Linked DNA regions of Pelodiscus sinensis. The main gene of each other region encodes a partner of the protein of the gene in region 3 in a complex. Links are inferred from orthologs where the notes say so. Each region holds a gene or a part of one and is shown on either strand. Other genes may lie near its edges.

The links. Proteins that work in one complex are often made in the same cells at the same time.
Region 1: E2F4 (region 3) and LIN52 share a complex: the UniProt entries of both Homo sapiens proteins name them as parts of the DREAM complex. The link is inferred for Pelodiscus sinensis from reciprocal best matches to the Homo sapiens genes E2F4 and LIN52.
Region 2: E2F4 (region 3) and RBL1 share a complex: the UniProt entries of both Homo sapiens proteins name them as parts of the DREAM complex. The link is inferred for Pelodiscus sinensis from reciprocal best matches to the Homo sapiens genes E2F4 and RBL1.

The regions. Positions count from the first base shown.
Region 1 is NC_134714.1:44,998,798-45,006,631, forward strand, and holds the start of LIN52 (protein lin-52 homolog), read right to left. Parts: upstream 3,003-7,834; 5' UTR 2,892-3,002; coding exon 2,873-2,891; intron 2,434-2,872; coding exon 2,359-2,433; intron 1-2,358. Other genes in the region: ALDH6A1 (methylmalonate-semialdehyde/malonate-semialdehyde dehydrogenase [acylating], mitochondrial), read left to right, coding at 3,255-3,308, 4,097-4,153.
Region 2 is NC_134728.1:32,852,445-32,859,786, forward strand, and holds the start of RBL1 (retinoblastoma-like protein 1), read left to right. Parts: upstream 1-4,340; 5' UTR 4,341-4,452; coding exon 4,453-4,575; intron 4,576-7,342. UniProt on the Homo sapiens protein: Key regulator of entry into cell division. Directly involved in heterochromatin formation by maintaining overall chromatin structure and, in particular, that of constitutive heterochromatin by stabilizing histone methylation.
Region 3 is NC_134722.1:47,083,326-47,090,541, reverse strand, and holds the start of E2F4 (transcription factor E2F4), read right to left. Parts: upstream 3,053-7,216; 5' UTR 2,998-3,052; coding exon 2,872-2,997; intron 1-2,871. UniProt on the Homo sapiens protein: Transcription activator that binds DNA cooperatively with DP proteins through the E2 recognition site, 5'-TTTC[CG]CGC-3' found in the promoter region of a number of genes whose products are involved in cell cycle regulation or in DNA replication.

The DNA.
Region 1 (7,834 bases), on a different chromosome or scaffold from region 3:
GATGAGCCGGGGAGATTGGGGGGCCAGTGGAAGCAGGGCTGCCAGGAGGCATGAGGTTGGGGGTAGGGAGCTGGCCGGGGAAGATGGGGGTGGGAGGGAGAAGCGGCCGCCGGAAGCAGGGCTGGACGCAGGCAGCGGGGCTGGCCAAGGGAGATTGGGAAGAGAACTGGCTGTCCAGGAGGGGGTTGGGGGAAGTGGGGCTGGCCAGAGGCGGGGGGAGAGAGTGAATCGGCCGGCAGGGAGCGGGACTGACTTGGCCATATGCAGGTCTCGGGGCGCTGCTCCCCTTCTCCCCACCCCCACAAAGCACGAGTGAGTCTGGCCCGGGGATTCTATTGTGCCCCCCCACAACACACACCCTCGAGTAGTTGCGAACTGTCTGGCTGGTAGACACACTCATGCAGCCTGAGCACATTTACCAGCTAGGCAGTTCGAAACTACAAACTGATACATCTAATAATAATAAAACTTACCTAATGAGAAAAGACGAGACATGTTATATGTCTGGTATTTTCTCAGTTTGTTTTTTATGGGTTTATATTTTTGGGCTGCAAAAAACAGTACTAAAAAAAAGGGTTCGAACTAAAGTAAAAAGATTGGGAAACCCTGGCATAGATACACAGATCATGGGCAATTTGCCTGAATGCAATCCTGTCAGACGCCCTAACCCACAGCTCTTGAGCCGCATGCAGCTCTTTGCTTAAAGAAATGCGGCTCTTGCTAGTTCTGAGCTGTGCGCCTGGACTGCTCGCAGCCAGCTGCTCTGTGCATGCGTCCCAGTGTCTGGAGGGAGAAGCGTGTGGCGACAGCGGCTCTGGGACCCAGGCATTGGGTTAGAGTGGGGGGTGCCTGGCTCTGGGGGAGGGAAGGGGATTGGGTTAGAGCAGGGGAGAGCTGGGGGTGCCTGGCTCTGGGAGAAAGCATTGGGTTAAAGCAGGGAGGGCTGACGGTGCCTGGCTTATCTTCATGGATGCAGAATAAAGGCAGCCAACACAGATGTCATATTTAAATTCCAGGGCAAAAAAGAATCAGCATACACTTAGTTTACACTGTGTTCCTTAAAAGAAAATTCAAAGGCTATTGTTCGCCAGGTTGAACCAATTATTCTGAGATATGTGTCTCTGCCTTATTGTTTTTGAACCTCTCATATTTGCAGTCTGGGACAGACCTGAATTTTTAGAAGTAAAAAAACTGAGGAAACCATACCAGAGGTCAGAAGTTGGAGTGAAACAGACACTTCAAATTGTGCTAATTTATTTCTCAGTTCAGTTTAATTAAAAAAAAAATCACAGGACATACTAGGGCAGTAATGTTAAATTTAAAATACATGGTAGGGATGCTTTTCTTTTAGTGTGAGAATATTGCTGTGTTTTTAAAAAAAAAATTTTTTTAATTTGATGTTTGCTCCTTGTCAAGTTCTCAGAAGATCTATGGACTGGAGATTAATTTTTTAAAGTGACTAGTGACTTTTTTATTGATTTTTGTCTGAAGTGTCCTGTAATGTTATTTTTAATCACTATATTTTGTGTACTATAGCTATCTATCTATCTAGATATATAAAAATAAATATCCACAGATATTTTGGCTCTTTGTCCCTAACTGGTTGGCCACTCCTGCCCTAAGCAGATAGTTTGATAGCCATGCTGATATTTTTTCATATGCTACATTGATCAGAATTATTGTACAAATGCCAATCAAACTGGGAATTAAGCTTCCTAGCTGCAGTAGAGTTAGATAAAATCTCCAGTCACATGTACTATAGGAAATGTTGCCTCACTACATTAAATATTAGTCACTAACTCATCTACTGCAGTTTCTTGAATACTGCAGGAGTAACAAAAATTCAGAATGCTCTTTGGAAGATTTTCCCTGCTTATTTGCCATGGAAGTGTCCATTGCAGATCAGCTTAGTTTATTAGTCAGTAGTTTACACAGAGGTACTGGAAGAGTTCCTATCAAGCCTCACTTCTTATATTTTCACCACCTAGCCAAGGAGTGCAGATCACCGTAGTTTAAATGCATAGGTGAAGGGAACAAAACCTGAGAAGCACCCGCATCAGAATGTTATGGAGAACATCCTAATCTACTAGGGCTCAAACTGGATACCATCTCCAGTAACATTTACATGGGCAATCAGATGAAACTTACAGTTGCCAACTGCCACTCCCCACACCATCAAACCATAACTCCATGGTACACACACCCATCCCAGGTTGCGGGGGCCTGGAGGTCGCAGTGCACTCCAGTGACCCAGGGGTCTTTCCCCTTCTCACCAGGGCACTGGATACTCTCGTTTCCTTTCACATGAAGGACCAATCCACCTCATCAAGCCCTGGAGGAGAATCAGGGTTGACTTACGCTGCTCCGGCCACAGGTCTGGGGATGCTCGGTCCAGCTTCTCAAAGCTCAGCAAGGAGGCTTCCAGATCTGTCCCTGGAAGGAGTCAGTCAGTGAGTCAGTCAGACAGACAAACACCGCTCCCGCCCCGAAGCCGGACATGTCACACGCAGGCTCAGCGACACCCCAGACGCCATGGCCACGGGCTGTGGCTAGAGGGTGCCCTCGCAAGGCTCAACCGCGGCGCCTCACACAGGCGACAAGCAGCTCCAGTCCGGGGACGTGCCCCGACGACAGGGCTGCCCGGTGCCCGTTCTCCAGCGCCGGGCGGGGCCGCCTGGTCGGGCCGGTCTCCAGACCCTTCCCCCCGGCTCCGAGTCGCCGGCGGGGAGGGGGCTGGCGCAGGGTAACGACACATCACGCTCAAGACGCGACCCAGGAACCGGGCGGGCTGGGCCGATACCCAGAAGCCGCCGCAGCTCAGCTCCGCGCGCAAGGCAGATCCGGTCCAAGTCCTGGTGCTTCCACTTCTTACCTTCCGTGGGAGCCGCCATCTTGCCCAAGTCACGTGACGGGCAACCGCCGCCCGCGGGAATTCGTACACGTGACTCCCTCTAGCACCGCCCACACACGCGGCGCTTGCGTTCCTCCCCTAGGAGGCGTGTCCAACCCTGACTTTCCATCCATGGCCGCCTTCAATTCCCGTAGCCAATCACCGCCCTGGAATGGTGGGCGGTTCCCCTAGGGGCGGGGTTAGGCGATTGCGGCTCTCTATTGGCCGAGTCGAGCGCCACAGCCCCTCCTGGGTAGAGCGGAGACTAGGGCGTTGTCTAAGCGGCCAATGGCAGTGCGGGGGCGGGACCTGAGGGCCCGTGAGGGTCTGTCCTGCGGGGGCCGGGGGACTCTCTGCAGGCGGGATGGTGGCGCTGGCAGGTCGCGGGGCCCAGGCTGGGCAGCGGCTCCTGTGCAGGGTGAGGCCGGGCGCCCGCTGTACGGCGGGGGTGTCGAGCAGCCCCCGGCCCGGGGCGAGGTGCGGGAGCCCTGCTGTAGCTCCAGCGGCTGGGCTCACGCCTCCCCTGTGCCGGACAGTCCCCCGGGCTATCGGCCTTGTGGCCGCCGGACGAGTGTTTCTCGCGGTTCCTCTGGGCTCCGCCTGGCTGCCAGCAAGACCCGAGGCCGCCGCTCCAGCGGGCAGGCGGGCCGAGGTGCTGGGATAGGTTTTCTCCGGGGGTGACAGCAGGGGTTGGCAGCGAGGTTCCCGGGCATGACTGGGGAGAGCTGGGCGGGGTCTCAGCTGGGATCTGCACGCGTCTGGCCTCACTGTTCCGTGCCACTGACGGCTGCCCCGAGGCGAGCTGTCGGACGGTGCTTGGAAGGCTGCACCCTTGAAACGGTTTAGGTTAAAACCGATAAACTAGGAGGAATTTTCCAGCGCTTTCAAATACGATCTGGCAAGGCTCACCTGAACCCAGTTCGTGCTTTGGGTCCTTGCCATTGATTCCGTTAGCACGTGTTCAGTCCCCTAGCCTGATATGGGGTATGATTGAGACCCCCTTCCCACAGCATCTTACCGTGCAACCAGTGGTATTTGTGGCTGCCCCTTTGCTCCCTCAGGCTATAGTTGACTCATGGACGTTGGGGATCAGATCCCAGGCTCTCTCCACAACCATAGCGTCTGCACGGGTTTAACCTCTGCAGGATTTGCCTCCTGTGTGTCTAACAGCATTGATCTCTGTGTGTCTGCCTTTCTTTCATGTAGATCCTAGGAAAAGTCAGTCCCACCTGGTATTCATCCTTTTCCTCCTCTTACTCAGTGGTGAGTTCATTCTTGTTCCTGTTGACAAGCTTTACCAAAGGGGAGACATGGGAAGTTCAAAGGGCCCTGGATGCAGGGGAGGAGGAGGAGGAGATGCAGATGGTGACTATCTTATTAGCCAGCTATGCACACTTGTATGGCAGGAGCTGCACCCCCGTACTATCACTTGCATAACTTAGCATGCCCAGTACCTGTCTAATCTGGTGTTAAACTAAATCAGACTTTGCAGTTGCATTGCCAAAGGAGGGGGTTGGTATTTGGAAGAAAATGTATTTGCTGAATTAGCTTTAGATAACTTAGCCCAGTTAGTAAGAGCAGGGCATGAAACAATTTCATGTTAGGCCTCTAGATAGGGCTGGCTAAAGTTCTGGGAAGTCTATAACTGCTACTGGGGCAGGTGGATTGTTGGACTCCTTTCCTCATGCAATGAAACACTTCCTTCACATCTTTTTAAAAAGTCACTTCCAGGGCTTAAATTCTCAGAGACTATTTCACAGAGCTGACCACCATTTAGGACACAGCTGCCAAATGAAGCACGTCTCAGGGAGAGGAGAGGGTGTTCTCAGGGCTTCTATAGGTTTGAAAATATTTACCGGAGCTCTGTTCTGGGTGGCTCCAGGTGAATCTGGGGTTCAGTGAAGGGAGGGAGGAGAGTCCTAAAGCCTTTCTAAATAAGGATGTAAGTGAGTAGTGAAGTCAGGTATTTGACTACTCACTCTCCCTTCCATGTCACTGCCTCTGTATTGGTGGCAGCAAGGAGGGGTGGGCAGGAGCCGGTGCTGGTGGGAGCCACCTTAAAAGCCAGTTCCCTCCAGCACTGTCTCTGTGGTGCCATGCTCTAGAAATCTCTGTCTTGTACTGCACAGCCCTTTCCTGGACAATACGAGCTTGGATAATAATAGAAATAAGTACACTTGCTGTCCCAAGTGGAGTTTCCCAAACACTTCAAATACACTGGATCAAAGGGAATGATTTTTGTATGCTTTTAAGCGTGAAGCATACGAGTCAGAATTTAATACAAGAAAAATAAAATAAAAACGTTACAGGCAACGACTGCCTAACTTTGCCATTATGGCAGCAGTTCGCAAACTGTCATTCAGAACCACAGAATGGGCTATGATCAAGTTTTAATTGGGTCTGCAAAGGCTGGCATTGGATTTGCTGTGGACCAGGACCAAAGACTGATTTTGATGACTTTGACTTTGGCCCTGAGTGGTGGGGTTCAGGTTACAGGTCTGCTGAGGCCTTGGGCTTTAGCCTACCCACCCAGGGTGTTGGGGCTTGAGGTTTTCCCCACTTTCCTGACAGCCAGGGCAGCAGGTCTCAGGTGGGCTCAGGCTTTGGCCTCCTCTCCTGGGGCCATGCAGTAATATTTTATTGTTGGAAGAAGGTTACAATGCAATGAGGTTTTGGAACCCCTGAACTAAGGTAAATTCAAAGCAAAGCAGTAACGATGGGTGACAGGGGAAGGAGGAAGACACTGACCACGTGCTCCCTGCTTCCGCCCAAGGAAGGACCAGGACAACTCCCTTCTGCTCCAGGCCCTGTCTCTCCTTGCCCCTTTGTTTCAGCCCAGGGGACTGGTGGGGCCAGGGGTCTGTGCTGCACTCTTCCTACACATGGATTGGGTGGCTCCAGCTTGTGCAATGCTGTTCTATTCAATATTTTGTTTTCTTGTCATTATTCATTGTGGCCTATTTACTGCACAATATTCAGACCTTGTGTTGAAAATAGAATTATTTCTTTACTCAAAATTTTTATCTACATCTCCAAAAATAAGTTGCAGACATATGCATTCACATTTATAAATGTAGATACTTGCAGATATAAAGCAGAGCTCTATCTACATATAGGCTTATAGTTATATAGAGCTAAGTAGTCTTGAAAAAAAATCAGCTTTTAGGCATCTCAAATTAGGCAACCAAAATTAGTAAATGTTTTTGACCCAAGTCTCCTTGCCTCAGTTTCCCTATCTGTAAAATGGGGATAATAAAACTACTACCTCACCGGGGTTATGTGAAGATACAAAACATTAATGAGTTATTTAGAACCCTACACAACTGCAGACATCCACATGCGCAGATGTGGTTTTTTTTGTAGATGGAGATGCGGATACAAGTGTTGTATAGAGCCTTGCACAAATGCGTGTGAAAAGTTTGCTTTAAGTGACTTACCTAGTATCACTTAGGAACTCTGTGGCAGAGACAGCATTCATTTGTTTTAAGCATGAGTCAGTCCTTCTCTTCCTGCATTCCCCTACCCCACTCAGTACAAGTCGTCCAACTTCTGCCACAAATAAGGCAGGGGCCCTATGGACAGAAGTCCCCTTTCATACCTCGCCTGGATTCAACAGAATAGGTCCATTTTGTCCAGTGAATGAAGCAAGGAGTTTGTGAGATGAGGGGGAAAAATGTGAATATGTAATTGAAGACTGTAGCATAATGCTGATACACAAGGGGCTGGATTAAAGTTGCAGAGTTATTCTTAACTTTAATTCCCAATTTTTGATTGCTTAGCTTTGCAACTTAAATTTTCTTTTAATGTAGTTTTTTTGTGTGTAATTGCCTAGCTCTTAAAAAAGCAAACTGGGGGGCAGGGGGAATTCCATTGTGGCATCCAAGTGATACCCACATGGGTTATTAGTTGGGTTGATACTGTGGTGTTATATGCATATCCCATCACAGGAGTGAAGATATTCAGGGGTGTGGATGCCACCTGATTGGCTACAGGGTATTCAGCTGTCTCTCTAGTCTGTAAATGTCCCCTTGCAGTCTAGGGTATTTGAGCTTAGTGTCTAAGGTCAATAGTGCTGTGCTTTCTCTCAGAGCAGTACAGTCTGCTGGTCAGAGTCCATCATGGTCAGCCTTCACTCCAGGGCAGTGTGGCCTAGTGGCCAGAGTCAGTAAGTGGCCCTGGTCTCAGGGCAACACAGAGAATCGGTAAGTAGCTCTTGTTGCAGGGCAGTAGGTCCTAAAGGCCAGGCCAGAATCAGTAGGATTGGGGCAAGCACCCTGGTAGGGGGAACCGGGCCCACCCTACACCACCAGGTCCTACCCAGCGCCCTGCGAGCAGCAGAACAATCTACAACTCCCTCGGTGGGGAATCTGGCCAAAACCCGCCAAATATACCTGGGTGGGAGAGGCCATTCCTGCACCCTCCCTGGGTCACTTACTACGATTCTGGCAGGTCGACGTCCCACATAGTGGCTTGGTCTCCCAGTTCCCTGGCAGCGGCTTCTTCCTGGGACTCTGCGGGGATTGCATAGCAGCCGTCTCCTGGGATTCCGGGTTCTCACTGTTCTGGGTCACTGGCTGCTGCAGCATGGGAGCTCTGGCTGGAAGTCTTTCTCCTTCATTGGCCAGCCCAGATAAGCTACTCTCTTGCCTTTTATGCTGCCCCAGCACTTGGAGCATGCCCAGTCTGGTTGAAGGAGCAGGGCTTTCTCTGCCCACAGGGTTTTCATTCCCCCTGCTCCAGTGTGGGGTATTCACACCCTGTTACAGGTACCTTTAGAACCACCACACAGACCGTAGTCATTTCACTTAGTGAAGTAACTGATAGCAATAGTAAGTTGACATCCTCTAGTGGCACAGAGGAAGGTGAGAGACTTTGCCAGTGAGTTTCATAGATATTTGCTGAAACTGGGGAGTGGAGAGAATCAAAATGTTTGGGTTCCCTTGC
Region 2 (7,342 bases), on a different chromosome or scaffold from region 3:
ATGCACTTGATATAGAACCACATTAGCAGATGCCGTGGTGGACCAGGCTCCAACGGCCCCTGCTGGAGGCTTATGGCCTTACCATACTCTGCCAAGCAAACCACAGAGAAGTCCTCCAGGAAAGATAGGGTGGCACAAAGGACCTGACCAATGAGGGCCCAGCAAGCCAATTAAAAGGAAGCTGTTGCACCAGAGCGAGGCAGTTCTCTGTGGAAGCTGGAGGCTCAGGCTTGGCTGGAGAGCTGGGTTGCAGGAGGGTGGCCACAGCAGGACATGCAGGTACTTGGCTGCGCATACGAGATGAGTGGCACCCCCATTACACCTTCCTGTCAGACATCTGGATTGCCAAATGGTTTCAGAAAAAATACTGAACAGAAAAAAAGGACCCCAAGAGTTGTTAAGAAAAAAAAAAAGAAAGAAACGTGTCGTGAGGCTTTTTGGCCCTACCAGGCTGCCGGCAGCCACCCGCCATCTTGCCTCCCTGTGTGGGGCTGGACAGCTCCTCTGCGGAACCTGGTAAGCACTAGGGTTGTCAGGCTGCCTCCGTATTGAGCCGGACAGCCAGGGATTTTTGCCTCCTGGCCGGGGGAAAAAAAACAGAAAGTCCTGGACATTTTAGGTGTCCGGTATTTTCTGAAGTTTTTTACCGTACAGGAGACAAAAGTACCAAACTGTCCGGTTCAATACCGGACACCTGGCAACCCTAGACATCTCTAGAGTCTAGAAAAGCAGCCCTTTAGTAGCTCACTTCTCCCCCCGCCTCACTAGCCAGGGATCACTGATCCCACATATTAAGACACCCCCCCTACACACGCAAGAGCTCCATCCAGTCTCCCTGCTCTTCAATGGGTGATGCTCACTAGTTCCACCTCACTGATAGGAGCTAGAACAGCTCTTCCCTGCCCTCCACAGGCAGGGAGCTGCTCCAGCCCACAGGGCCTACCACGGGCAGGGGGTGCTCTGATCAGCCAGCTGGATCAGCTCCTGTCTGTGGTGGGCCTGGCTTGGCTCCCTGCCACAGGCAGGGCATGCGCCAACCAGCTGGCTAGAGCGGCCCTTGTCTATGGCAGGGGGTGGCTCCAGCCCGGCTCCATTCTCCCCTCCCCCCGCCTATAGTTGGTTAACCGGTTAAACATAATGGTTGACGGGTTACCCAATTAAATGGGATTTTGCATCCCTAGTTTATGCATGGGGCCCTGTTTATTGCCCACCCGCTGAATTTTATGCAGAATTTGCTGACTTCTGTGTCTGTTTCCTGCCACAATCTCTGGCTGCTCTCGCTCCCTGGCATCCTAGGGATCCCAGTGGCGCTCCCAGCCCTGTTCCAAGGAGAATACAGTGGCAATAATGAAACATGCGTTAGTCACAGTGGTTTCAGTGAGGAGTGCTTTCACTCTGTCCCATACGTCCCTGAGCGCTGGGGGGCGAGCTGCAGCCAGCGCCAGCTTTCACTAGTAAGCCTTTTATACGCTCACCAACCGCACGCCAGCCTGGAGGAGTGTGTCTGTCTCCAGAGTGGGAGCCAAAATACTTCCCAGCTCCCCCCCCCCCTGGGGAGGGGCCAGTGCTGCCAGTGGGCAGAGGGTGCAGAGGGGAAGGTCCCAGGGCTACCCCTAGAACAGCTCCCTGTTGGAATGTGCGCCTGGAGGACACTGAGCATGCTCAGTAGCTCTGCTGAAGCCAGTGCCCTTTGCCCTGCTGGCTGCTTTTTACAGGTGGTTAAAAAGGGACAGAAATACCTGTCATGGATACCCAGACACAGGCTGATGAAGAAAGCCAGGAGGTGAGGGTCAATCCAGTGCCCGGTAGCAAGGAACTGTTCTCAAGTCTTGATGTTTGAGGATGCTCAGCAACTCTACAGGGTAGACACACCGCATACTGAAGCAAGAGCAAGCACACAGGATAAGTTAGCATACGGGCAGGGTTGGGCGCAGGGCAGGTGGCAGCCAGGGCGGCGTAGTAAATTACTCTATATAGTCAGGATGGGGGAGGCAGCAGTATAGGATGACCAGAGGCTGCCCTATTAAGAGCAGTTACAGACAGATACCTTGCATGTCATTGCTCCCTATAGGGCTGTGCCTACTGCTGGTAGCAAGGGCTTGGCATAGCATCTTCTCACAGCTGCACAGACCAGTAAGGGCTGTTAGTAGCACAGCTCTACAGGCTCAGTGACAGGCAGCCAGCATAGCTAGGGGTTGCACATAGCACAGACCTACAAGGAGGCAGGACAGGCAGCCAGCGAGTCTAGGGTACCGGTAGTCCTACAGATGCAAGGATAGGCAGCTGGCGTGTCTAGGGATACGGTAGCACAGACCTACAGGGTGCAGAGACAGGCAGACAGCGTGTCTAGGGGCTGCTGGCAGTGCAGCACTATAGATGCAGGGACAAGCAGCTGGGCTACGTCTACACTGGTACCCTTTTCCGGAAATGCTTAAAATGGAACAGTTTTCCGTTATAAGTATTTCCGGAAAAAGCACGTCCACATTGGCAGGATGCTTTTCCGGAAAAGCACTTTTTCCGGAAAAGCGTCCATGGCCAATGTAGATGCGCTTTTCCGGAAAAAAGCCCCGATTGTCATTTTCGCAATCGAGGCTTTTTTGTGGAAAAGACTACTGTGCTGTCTACCCTGGCCCTTTTCCGGAACAGTTTTTCCAGAAAAGGACTTTTGCCCGAACGGGAGCAGCATAGTTTTTCCAGAAAAACACTGACAATTTTACAGTAGATTGTCACTGCTTTTCCAGAAAAGCAAGCGGCCAGTGTAGATAGCTGGCAAGTTATTCCAGAAAAGCGGCTGCTGGTATTTAAGGGTACCAGCAGAACAGCCCTACTGGCAAAGGGACTGGTGGCTGGTGTGCCTAAGAGTACTGGTAACACAACCCTAAAGGCACAAGGACAGGCAGTCAGCATGTCTAGGGGTGCCAGTAGTGCAGCACTACAGCGTGCAGAGACAGTCAGCCAGCGTGTGTAGGGGCTGCTAGTGATAGTCCTACAGGGTGCAGACACAGGGCATGTCTAGGGGCTGCTGGTAGCACATCCCTACAGGGTGCAGGGACAGGCAGTGGTTCCCAATTTTATTTGGCCACAGAACCCTTTTAAACTCAAAAGAATTTTGCAGAACCCCTAATAAAAGTCTTATATAGAGAGATGAAAAATAAACCACAACTAAGTAAGGATAATAAACATGCTAATCAAAGGCATGAGATCAACACAAATGACAATTGTTTTCAATAAAATGCCTAAATATTAATTATTTTTTAAATGATAAAATGTTGCTGTGATGGAATTTTCTCACGAAACCCTGGGGATCTGCAGAACACCACTTGGGAAACACTGCGCTGAGCGTCGTTAGCACAGCCCTAGGCCAGGCACATGGAACTAGGGGTACCAGCAGCGCGGCGCGACAGGCGGCGGGACAGGCAGGGGGGCATGACAGGCGGCGGGAGGCGGAGGGACAGGCGGCGGGGCGCGACAGGCGGCGGGAGGCGGCGGGGCGCGACAGGCGGCGGGACAGGCGGCGGGGCGCGACAGGTGGAGGGAGGCGGAGGGACAGGCGGCGGGGCGGGGCGCGACAGGCGGCGGAGGGACAGGCGGCGGGGCGCGACAGGCGGCGGAGGGACAGGCGGCGGGGCGCGACGGGAGGCGGAGGGACAGGCGGCGGGGCGCGACAGGCGGCGGAGGGACAGGCGGCGGGGCGCGACAGGCGGAGGGACAGGCGGCGGGGCGCGACAGGCGGAGGGAGGCGGAGGGACAGGCGGCGGGGCGCGACAGGCGGCGGAGGGACAGGCGGCGGGGCGCGACAGGCGGCGGAGGGACAGGCGGCGGGGCGCGACGGGCGGCGGAGGGACAGGCGGCGGGGCGCGACAGGCGGCGGAGGGACAGGCGGCGGGGCGCGACAGGCGGAGGGAGGCGGAGGGACAGGCGGCGGGGCGCGACAGGCGGAGGGAGGCGGAGGGACAGGCGGCGGGGCGCGACAGGCGGAGGGACAGGCGGCGGGGCGCGACAGGCGGAGGGACAGGCGGCGGGGCGCGACAGGCGGCGGGAGGCGGAGGGACAGGCGGCGGGGCGCGACAGGCGGAGGGACAGGCGGCGGGGCACGACAGGCGGCGGGAGGCGGAGGGACAGGCGGCGGGGCGCGACAGGCGGCGGGAGGCGGAGGGACAGGCGGCGGGAGGGACAGGAGGCGGGGCGCGACAGGCGGCGGGAGGCGGAGGGACAGGCGGCGGGGCGCGACAGGCGGCGGGAGGCGGAGGGACAGGCGGCGGGAGGGACAGGAGGCGGGGCGCTACAGGCGGAGGGAGGCGGCGGGCAGCCCGGGCCGGCAGCCCCGCTCCTCAGGCCGGCGGGCGGGCGGTCGCTGCGGGCGGAGGGAGACGCGTAACGAGGCCCGGCGGTGAAGCGGTTTTGGCGCGCTGCGCGCAAGGGCTTGTGGGATTGGAGCCGCCGGGAGCCGCCATGGCCCGGGAGGAGGCCGCAGCCGCCATCGAGCGCCTCTGCCAGGAGCTCAACCTGGACGCGGCCAGCGCCGCCGGGGCGCTGCGGGACTTCCGGGCGCTGCGGGGCACGTACAGCCTGGAGGTGCGCGCCGGGGAGCGCGGGGGGCGGGGCTGGGGCGCGGGCCTGGCTCGGGTGCAGGGCCTCGCCCGCGGGGCCCGGTGCAGCCCGCACCCACAGCGGACCTCGGGGTCACCCAGCGTGACTGCCCCCCCCCCCCCCCGCGCTCAGCTATGCCCCGCCCCCGGGGCATGCCAGGCCCCACCCCCTAGGCTAAGCCCCGCCCTCTCCGCTAAGCGCCTCCCCCCCCCCCCCCGGGCCATGCCAGGCCCCCCCAGCTAAGCCCCTGGCATGAGGACTCCACACCCCCCTCCGCTTAGCTGTGCTTCGCCCCGAGCTAAGCCCCGGCATGGCAGCCCCTTGCCCCAGCCCTGCCAGCAGAGCCGGGCGGTGGAGCAGTGCAGTCAGCCCGAGACACCGAATGCAGAGCAGCCGTTCAGGGCTGCAGCCCACGTTCGATGCCTTGTTCTGGGACAAGCCTTGGAGCGGTTCAGGAGGTTTTGCACCTGAAATTCACACCCTACTTAACCCGAATTAACTTTAAAACGTCAACAGTCCTGAAGGGCTAGTGAGTCACTGTGCGTTTAAAGTCTTTTCACACTCGCTTTCCAAGTGGTACCTTTCTGGGATCCAACTGCGGCCCCTCCCAGCTCCCTTCATTTGTCATTGAGGTTTTGGGGAGCAGTTCATCCAGAGCATCTCACAACACTTTTTTGGTGGCCTCAGATTGCAGCCACCATCTCTTGCTCATAGAAACACTGACATTTTTTTCTAAAATACAGTGAAAGCTTTGTTATCCAGCACTCAGAGGAGCTGGGGGAAAATGCAGGACAATGTAGCACTTTAAAGACTAACAAGATGGTTTATTAGATGATGAGCTTTCGTGGGCCAGACCCACTTCCTCAGATCAAATAGTGGAAGAAAGTAGTCACAACCATAGATACAAATGGAGCTGGGGGTTACCTGTTAATTGAATGTGCCAAATACTCAGCTTATTGCTCCATTCCCACCCCATGCTGGCAGATCCAGCTGGAGGCAGGCTGAGGGAGAAGGAGATGCCTGCTGATGATGTCTGCCAGCAGGCAGTAGTCCTGCAACCGCCAGTTGGACTGGTGAGAGTTAGGTGTGAGCCAGCAGATGTGGCTGGGGCAATGCTGGTTAACACAATTTTCCAGTTAACAAAGTCCAGATAAGCTTTCACTGTACTTAATTAACTTTAGGAAAAACAAATATGCACATATACATGTCCAAATCACTAATTTATTTATGTAAGGTTTTTTCCCTCAGTCAATAATCAAATTAATGTACAGTTTTCTCCATTTTTCACTGGACGTAAACAGAATAGAAACAAAAATAAGATCCTTTGCATGTTTTTGTCTTTTGGTGTTTCTTTTGTTTTTTTTGTTTTAGATTTGTAAATTCTAGTAAGTCTTCTGTTCTTTTTATGTTTGTTAATATCATTTTCCACAGAATGACTCGCTTACAAGCTGGGAGGCAGTGGAAAATGATATTAAACATACAAAACCAATTTCGCAGCAGATTACTCAGGCCTAGCAGGTTGGGGGACACATTAAGCCCTGGATAGGGAGGTAGGTTGGAAGGCAGCAAGGACGAGGGGCAATTTGGTGGGGGTGAGGAGTTGGGGAGACAATGGGGGCCAGTATTGATTGGGGCATGGCAAGCCTGGAATCAATGCTGGAAGCCCAAGGTCAGAGCCAAAGCCCAGTGACCAGGGCCCAGAGCCAAATAGGTGCCAAAATAGGGGAATTTTCTCTGGCTTCCTGCTCCTACAGCATTTCTGACTCCAGAAGGGGACAGGTCTCATCCCCTGTTGGTGACCCTTGGAGATGGGCTGCTATTTCCTTCCCCCTCATATCACTACCTAGGAGCTTGTGGCCACAAGAAAAGCCCCTGGTGGCCACATGCAGCCACAGTGACAGCATTTGAGAAACACTGAATTAATCCCTTCTGAATTCACTTGTCTTCTGGAATGGTCAGTAAACACTTCTTCCCATGATGAAAAAGATATTTATATTTAAACAAACGCCTGTTTAAGAAATAGGAGGATTTGATCTGGCTCTTATTCTTTGTGGGAAAACCAAAGTGGGTATATGCGTCTGCTCTCACATGGTGCTAGGATGATCTTGATACTGAGGAAGTTGGCAAATGTCATTGTGGAGCCTTTGGCTATTATCTTTGAAAAGGCGTGGCGATCGGGAGAAATCCCGGATGACTGGAAAAAGGCAAATGTAGTGCCCATCTTCAAAAAAGGGAAGAAGGATGATCCAGGAAACTGTCAGTCTTACCTCGGTTCCTGGAAAAATCATGGAAGGGATCCTTAAGGAATCCATATTGAGGCACTTGGATGAGAGGAAAGTGATTAGGAATAGTCCGCATGGATTCACAAAGGGCAAGTCGTGCCTGACCAATCTGATTAGCTTCTATGATGAGGTAACTGGCTCGGTGGACATGGGGAAGTCAGTGGATGTTATATACCTTGACTTTAGCAAGGCTTTTGATACGGTCTCCCACAATATTCTTGCCAGCAAGTTAAGGGATTGTGGATTGGATAAATGGATGGTAAGATGGATAGAAAGATGGCTAGAAGGCCGGGCCCAGCGGGTAGTGATCAATGGCTCGATGTCAGGATGGCGGTCGGTTTCTAGCGGAGTGCCCCAAGGTTCGGTTCTAGGACCGGTTTTGTTTAATATCTTTATTAATGATCTGGATGAGGGGATGGATTGCACCCTCAGCAAGTTTGCGGATGACACTAAGCTGGGGGGAGAGGTAG
Region 3 (7,216 bases):
GAATGGAGATGGGTGGCTGACTCCGGAAATTCACAGCTACAGCCGGCCTCCCGCGGGCACCACATTTTCCCCGTCGGGGGTCAGAGCCCCATACTTCCGACAGCACCTCCTCTGTGCCCCTGCTTCTCAAGCTGCAGAGAGGACCCTGCTCCCCAGGACTTCAAAACTACCACTGATCTTCCCCACAATCCAACTTCTCATTGCACTAAAACCCCTGCTGTCCCAGAGCCAGCCCGGCCACCTCCCCAGCTCCTCTGGAGCCCGCCAGGACTGCGCCTCTCTGGGACAATGCCCCGGGAGGGTCCTCCGTATTTCAGCCCCTAGCTCCATTCTCTTTTGGAGCAGATTAGGAAGGCTGTGGTGAGGCAGCTCTTATGCTACCCAAAGTCCTCAGCTTTCCTCGGCTGACTTGGCTCTAGGGGAAGGGGCAGGGAACCTTTTTGGGTTGGGGGCCACTGACCCACAGACAAATCAGTCGGGGACCACACACAAAAAACCCTCATTGATGTGATGCCCGACGGAAGCAGAAAGATGCTTCCTACATTTCCCTTGCACACCAGAGCCTGGGGGCCCAGCCGTGATTTTCTGTGCTCCAGCCGTGTGGTGAGACAGCGGGGGGCTGGAGCACCAGTGCGGGTCCCCAATGCAAGCGGGGGGCCCTGAGCCTTAGGGGCTGGATCCAGGCAAGCTGCGGGCTGCATTCAGCCCCCAGGCCTGAGGTTCCCACAAGAAGTTTCCAGGGGTGGATCTGTTCTTTGGTTGGCAGGAACAGCCGTACCTTAACACTCAGCGCGCCCCTGGGTGCCTGCCAAGGGAAGTTACTCCAGTTCCCATCCCAAGTAACCCTAAGTGTGAATTCCATGGGCGCTGGGTCAGTGTGAATGCATCGTATGTCTGTACTGATATGCCCAGCGCCACACTGCACTGGATACTGCAAAAGACACAAGCCTGGTCACTTTCCTACACAGCTGTGCTCCACAAGCCACTGCTCTGTTTCAATGATGCTGACAAACACGAGTCCCAACTGCCCGCCGCTTTTGGAGCAAACGCCCACCGCTTTTCTGTCCCAGCCTGAACCTCTTAGTCACCTCCTGCACATGCCCGAAGCCAGAAAGAGCAGCAGTGGGAACACAGACAGCTGAGGCGACACACACATGGGTATCACTCCATGGAGGCATGCTGCACTGCTGGAAGACAAGAGCTAGGTTTCGGCTTTGGACATGGCAGGGAGATACCGTGAGAAAAGATCTCCAATGGCCAGGGACAAGGATAAGTGCCTATGCCAATTCGCCACTAGGGATGTGAATCGGTAGCTGGTTGCCCAGTAAGCAGGTACCAGTTAACTGACACCTGGGAGCTGCCCCCTGCATTTAACCAGTTAACCAATTAAATAGGACTGGACATCCCTAACCCAGGGGGTTGGGTCTTCACCTGGCATCCTAACCACCATGCTACAGACTAGGTGGAAGTGCCTCTCGCAGAGCTCAGAGCCCATTCCTGTTCTGAAAAATCTTCCCGGCAAAAGTTTCCTCAAAGCTGACTGGCTCTGTGAAAAGTTTCGGTTTTGCCAAATCAGCATTCTCCCCGCTCCCCCCCCCAAAAAAGCCCCACACCAAGCCACTTTAGAGCCACAAACTGCTGACCCGCTTGAGAAGAGTCCTGCTGCCTCCTAGCCATGCCTGGATGCACAAGTGCTTCCTTGAGCCTCCCGTTTTCAGTCCTCCAGCCCTGGGTTCCCATGCGGATCCGAGCCTGATGCCTCAGGCAGCAACTGCAGCACTGCGGATCCAAGGGAGATTCCTCCACACACATGGCATGATAAGCAGCGGCTCCCAGGGCAGAGGCTGCTCGGGAGGCCGGGAAAGCAGGATGCAGCCAAGCACCAGGGAAGGGCATTGAACAAGGTCCGAGATACCACAAATACACCCGAGATCAATGTTGCACTCCCACTTACCCCCGTCCTACCCATATCACAGCCTTACCTGTGGCCTCCTAACCCCCTCCAATCTGCCCCTCGCAGCCCCCGCCACCCACCTGCTTCTCCCTCCGCAAGCTTCAGTGTATTCAAAGAAACCTTTTTCGTATTGAATCTCCCAAATTGTCGAGTCTGACAAGGCTGCTCATCAGGGTGCAATGAGCCACACGTTAGTGATCTCGGAGGTGCTGGGGTGAGACAGCTTTGGGGACAGTCTATGCAGTGCGCTTTTGTGATGCATAAACATGCAGGTTGCCACGTGTGTGGGCAAACGCGTATTCACCTGGGGCACAGACCAGATGCAAGCTCCAGATTTGCAGAGCTTCAGCCAGAAACGATCTGATTTGCTCTCCTCCCCTAGCAGCCAGGTCTCCCCCACCTCCAGACTGGAGGAGGCAGAACCCTAAAGATCATTTGGAAACTTCAGCTAGTGGAGAACCGCACCCCCACTTGCTTAGCAGTGATTTCCCTGAGCTCCGCAGACTGTGCTGGCTTCCTGCTCGGCCCCCTGCAACACACGGTGCTGACAGTGACCTACGCATCCCTTTCAAGCTGGTGTCCTGCTTAATGCAGGGCTGCCACTTGCGAAGAGCGACTGCGCTGGGGTGGATCCAGGCTACGATCTCCCGGTGACGGGGCTGTGGACTCTGGATTGTTTCCCTGCAGCGGGGCGCGGAGCAGACGCGCAGGCCCTCGGGGGGCGCGGGACCAGGGTCTGGCTCTGTTCCGGGGTGGCGACGACTCCCCTCAGCGTGTCACCGCCCCCCGGGACAGGGACCCCCCCACTTACAGCCCCCCCCCGACAGGCTCCACCCGGCCCCAGGCCCTGCACAAAGCGGGCGCCAGAGGGGGGAGGCCCCGTACGCCCCCCCCGGAGAGACCCCCCCGGGCCGCACCAGCTTGAGGTCCAGGACCCCGTCCTTGGCCTCCTGCAGCAGCGACACGAACTTGGTGGTGAGCAGCCCCAGGCTCTTCTCGTGCCGGCTCGGGGCCCCCGGGGGCTGCGGCCCGGACTCCGCCATCTGCCTCCCCGCGCGCCGCTTCCGCTTCCGCCGCCGCCCGCGGGGCAGGCCGGGAAGCCGCGCCGGAAGCCAGGGGGCGGGGCCGCTGCCGCCCGCGCGGGGAGTCACGTGGCGCCGGGGGGCGGGGCCGAGGCGGGGCCCCGCCTCGCGCCCGGCCACTAGCTGGGGGGTGTGTGTGTGTGTGTGTGTGTGTGTGTGACGAGTGCTGCGCGCCGGTTGCCAACTTCCCGGACCGCACGGAGCGGACCCCACTCGCGGCAGCGCCGCCCCGGCCGGGAAGTTGGCACCTGCGCCCCGTGGCCCCCCGGCCCGTAGCCCCCACGGCGCCTGGGGACCCTGCCCCTCGGGGGCTCCGGCCACGGTGGCGCGGCAGGGGGGGCTCGGCGATCCGGAGTGCGGGGGGGCTCGGGGTGCGGGGGGGGGCTCGGCGAGCCGGGGTGCGGGGGGGCTCGGGGTGCGGGGGGGGGCTCGGCGAGCCGGGGTGCGGGGGGGCTCGGGGTGCGGGGGGGGGCTCGGCGAGCCGGAGTGGGGGGGGGCTCGGGGTGCGGGGCTCGGCGAGCCGGAGTGGGGGGGGGCTCGGCGAGCCGGGGTGCGGGGGGGCTCGGGGTGCGGGGGTGCGGGGGGGGGGCTCGGCGAGCCGGGGTGCGGGGGGGCTCGGGGTGCGGGGGGGGGCTCGGCGAGCCGGGGTGTTTGTTTATTCACAGCCAGGTTTGCTTCTACTGATGGTGCACATTCACATGTGCCTTGGTGCATGTAGAAAAAAATATTCTGCACATAGATGGAAAAGATTAGAGGGAACATTGCTTCTCAGACGAATTCCAGACCAGTTCCCCCAGAATTACCTGTAAGACCTTCTTAAAGGGCTTTCCTAAAACCAATCTCCGTAATTTAACTGACCCAAACATTAAAAAACAACAAATAGTCTAGCAGCACCTTAAAGACTAATAAAACATGTAGCTGGTACAACCCACTTCCTCAGATGAGTGGAGAGAATTCAGATTTGGTCTCATGTTCACTCCTGGTCCGGGAGCAGATCTGGCCCCGGGCCCCAGCATTGGAAATACAAGCTGAACTCCAGGGCGTGGTTCACTCTGATAAAAGCTTCCTTTAGGAAGCAAACGCCTTCACTGCTTTCTGGCTAGCTCCACTCTTAGTTTTCACTTTTTTTCCTCCCCGGGGCAAGTCTGGCGTGTCCACACGAAAAACACTGGTTCCTTTTATGTCAACCCGCTTGGATGAGTCTGGGCCCAGGGAGGTTAGCTGATTGATTCCCTTTGACCACAATTCTTGAAGAACACGAAACTTAAAAATACAGAACCTCCCAAATTAAGTTTTCATTCACAAACTAGGAATCATTTCCCCTTTCATGCATAATATTTTAAGTGTTGCACTCACATAAATACAAAGCCTCAGACAGGTCGCCGTGGTAGTCTGTAGTTTCAAAAACAACTACAAGACCGGTGGCACCTTACAGACGATGATATGTGTGGGCATAAGCTTTCATGGGTAAAAACCACTTTGTTCGATGCATGGAGTCCATGTCCTTTTAGAACCTCAGGGATCAACTTCTCAGCCCAATGCTTTCAAGTAGGAATAAGAGATCCTCCGGAAAAGGGCTTTATTCCGGAGGATCGTGCCAGTCTAGACGCTTTTTTCCAGCTTTTCCCCAAGCCGGAAAAAAGCGGCGGACATGTTTATTTAAATCCCGCGGGGGATATTTAAATCCCCCGCGGATTTCCCTATTCTGACTTACCTGCTTTGCATCACTTTTCCGGAATTTGGGGCCAGTGTAGACGTAGCCAAAGTGTTTTTGTCTCCACTTCTGGAAACTCTGGAAGAATTCCACCATGATTTCAACAGCTTCCACCCCACCATCAACTGCAGCCTGGACCAGTCTACACAAGAGAGCCACTTCCTGGGCAGCACGGTGTAAATAAGTGATGATCACATAAACACCTCCCTATACCAGAAACCTACTGATCGCTATACCTACCTTCATGCCTCCAGCTTCCATCCCGGACACACCACACGATCCATTGTCTACAGCCAAGCATTAAGTTACAACCGCATCTGCTCCAACCCCTCATACAGAGACCAACACCTACAAGATCTTCACCGAGCATTCTTGAAACTACGATATCCAAGTGAGGAAACAGACTAAAAGAGCCAGACATGTACCCAGAAGCCTCCTACTACAAGACAAGCCCAAGAAAGAAACCAAGAGAACACCACTGGCCATCACCTACAGACTTCAGCTAAAACCTCTCCAACGCATCATCAGTGATCGACAACCCATCCAGGACAATGATCGCCCACTTTCACAGGCCTTGGGAGGCAGGCCAGTCCTCGCCCACAGACAACCCGCCAACCTGAAGCAAATTCTCACCAGCAACTATACACTGCACCACAGTAACTCTAACTCAGGAACCAATCCCTGCAACAAACCTCAGTGCCAACTTTACCCTCATATCTACACCAGCGACACCATCACAGGACCTAACCAGATCAGACACACCATCACTGGTTCATTCACCTGCACAGCTACCAATGTAATATACGCCATCGTGTGCCAGCAATGCCCCTCTGCCATATACATTGGCCAAACTGGACAGTCCCTACATAAAAGAATAAATGGACACAAATCTGATATTAGGAATGGCAGTATACAAAAACCTGTAGGAGAACACTTCAATCTCCCTGGACACACAGTAGCAGAACTAAAGGTAGCCATCCTGCAGCAAAAAACTTCAAGACCAGACTTCAGAGAGAAACTGCTGAGCTACATAGTTCATCTGCAAATTTGACACCATTAGTTTAGGATTAAACAAAGACTGTGAATGGCTGGCCAACTACAAAAGCAGTTTCTCCTCTCTTGGTGTTCATACCTCCACATCAGCTGCTAGAAGAGGGAGTCATAGTGGAGAGCAGCCAAAGCAAAAGAGCTCCCAAGGTGATGCTGTGGCCGAAAGGACTAATTCGATTCTTGGCTTTCATATTACATAGGACATACGCACACAGACCACAGCTGGAATATGGTGTCCAGTTCTGGTACCCATGTTTCTAGAGCCTGACAAATTTGTGGATACCCACTTTATATCCGCGGGTGACCGCATCCACAGCTGCGGATACCCACAGCTCATTTTTGTGGATACAGATACAAATCGGCTGCGTCTAGATTGGCATGTTTTTCCGGAAATGCTTTTAACAGAAAAGTTTTCCGTTAAAAGCATTTTCGGAAAAGAGCGTCTAGATTGGCATGGACACTTTTCCGCAAAAGCACTTTTTGTAGAAAAGCATCGGTGCCAATCTAGATGCGCTTTTCCGCAAAAAAGCCCCGATCACCATTTTCTCAATTAGGGCTTTTTTGCAGAAAACAAATCTGAGCTGTCTACACTGGCCCTTTTGTGCAAAAGGGACTTTTGCCTGAACGGGAGCAGAATAGTATTTCCGAAAGAAGCACTGATTTCAGACAGTAGGAAGTCAGTGCTTTTGCGGAAATTCAAGCGGCCACTGTAGACAGCTGGCAAGTTTTTCCGGAAAAGCGGCTGATTTTCCAAAAAAACTGGCCAGTCTAGACACAGCCATTTTGTATCTGCGCAGGGCTCTGCATATTTGAAGAAGGGTTCAGGAAAAGCTGCAAGAATATTAGGTACCGGAGAGGAGGCTTATAGCGAGAGGCTTATGACACTCAGTCTATTTATCTTGTCAAAACAAAGATGAGGCACTGATGAGATCATGGTCTGTCACCACTTACACAGGGAGATCTCTGAGGACGGGCTCATTAATCTTCCTATGTATTTTAGAAACTTGCATCTGTCTGTGAGTCCATTTGTTCAAGAATCCTCCTAACGGGTACAAGCTGGCATAACGCTGACACGGGAATTGAGCCTAGGACCTCTGGAGCTTAGTGCACGAGTCTCTACCACACAAGCTAAAAGCCAGCTGGCTCTCAGGTAATGCTGTAGAGCAGCCTCATTAGTCTCTCTTGACTTGGTCCCAGTGCCATAAGTGGGATAGTGCACCGCACCCAGCAGGTGTGAGGGTTACACGAGGATCACCTGATTTGGTAGGCAGCTTCCTCTTTACCATCACTCAAAGCGAGGTCGGGTTGGGTTGTGCCAGGACAATGGGATGTTCCTGGAATGGGACTGTTTCATAGCAAATGGAAAGGGAGGGGTTATGCTCACACATGGCAGCAAGTGCCCCTATCAGCGGTCCC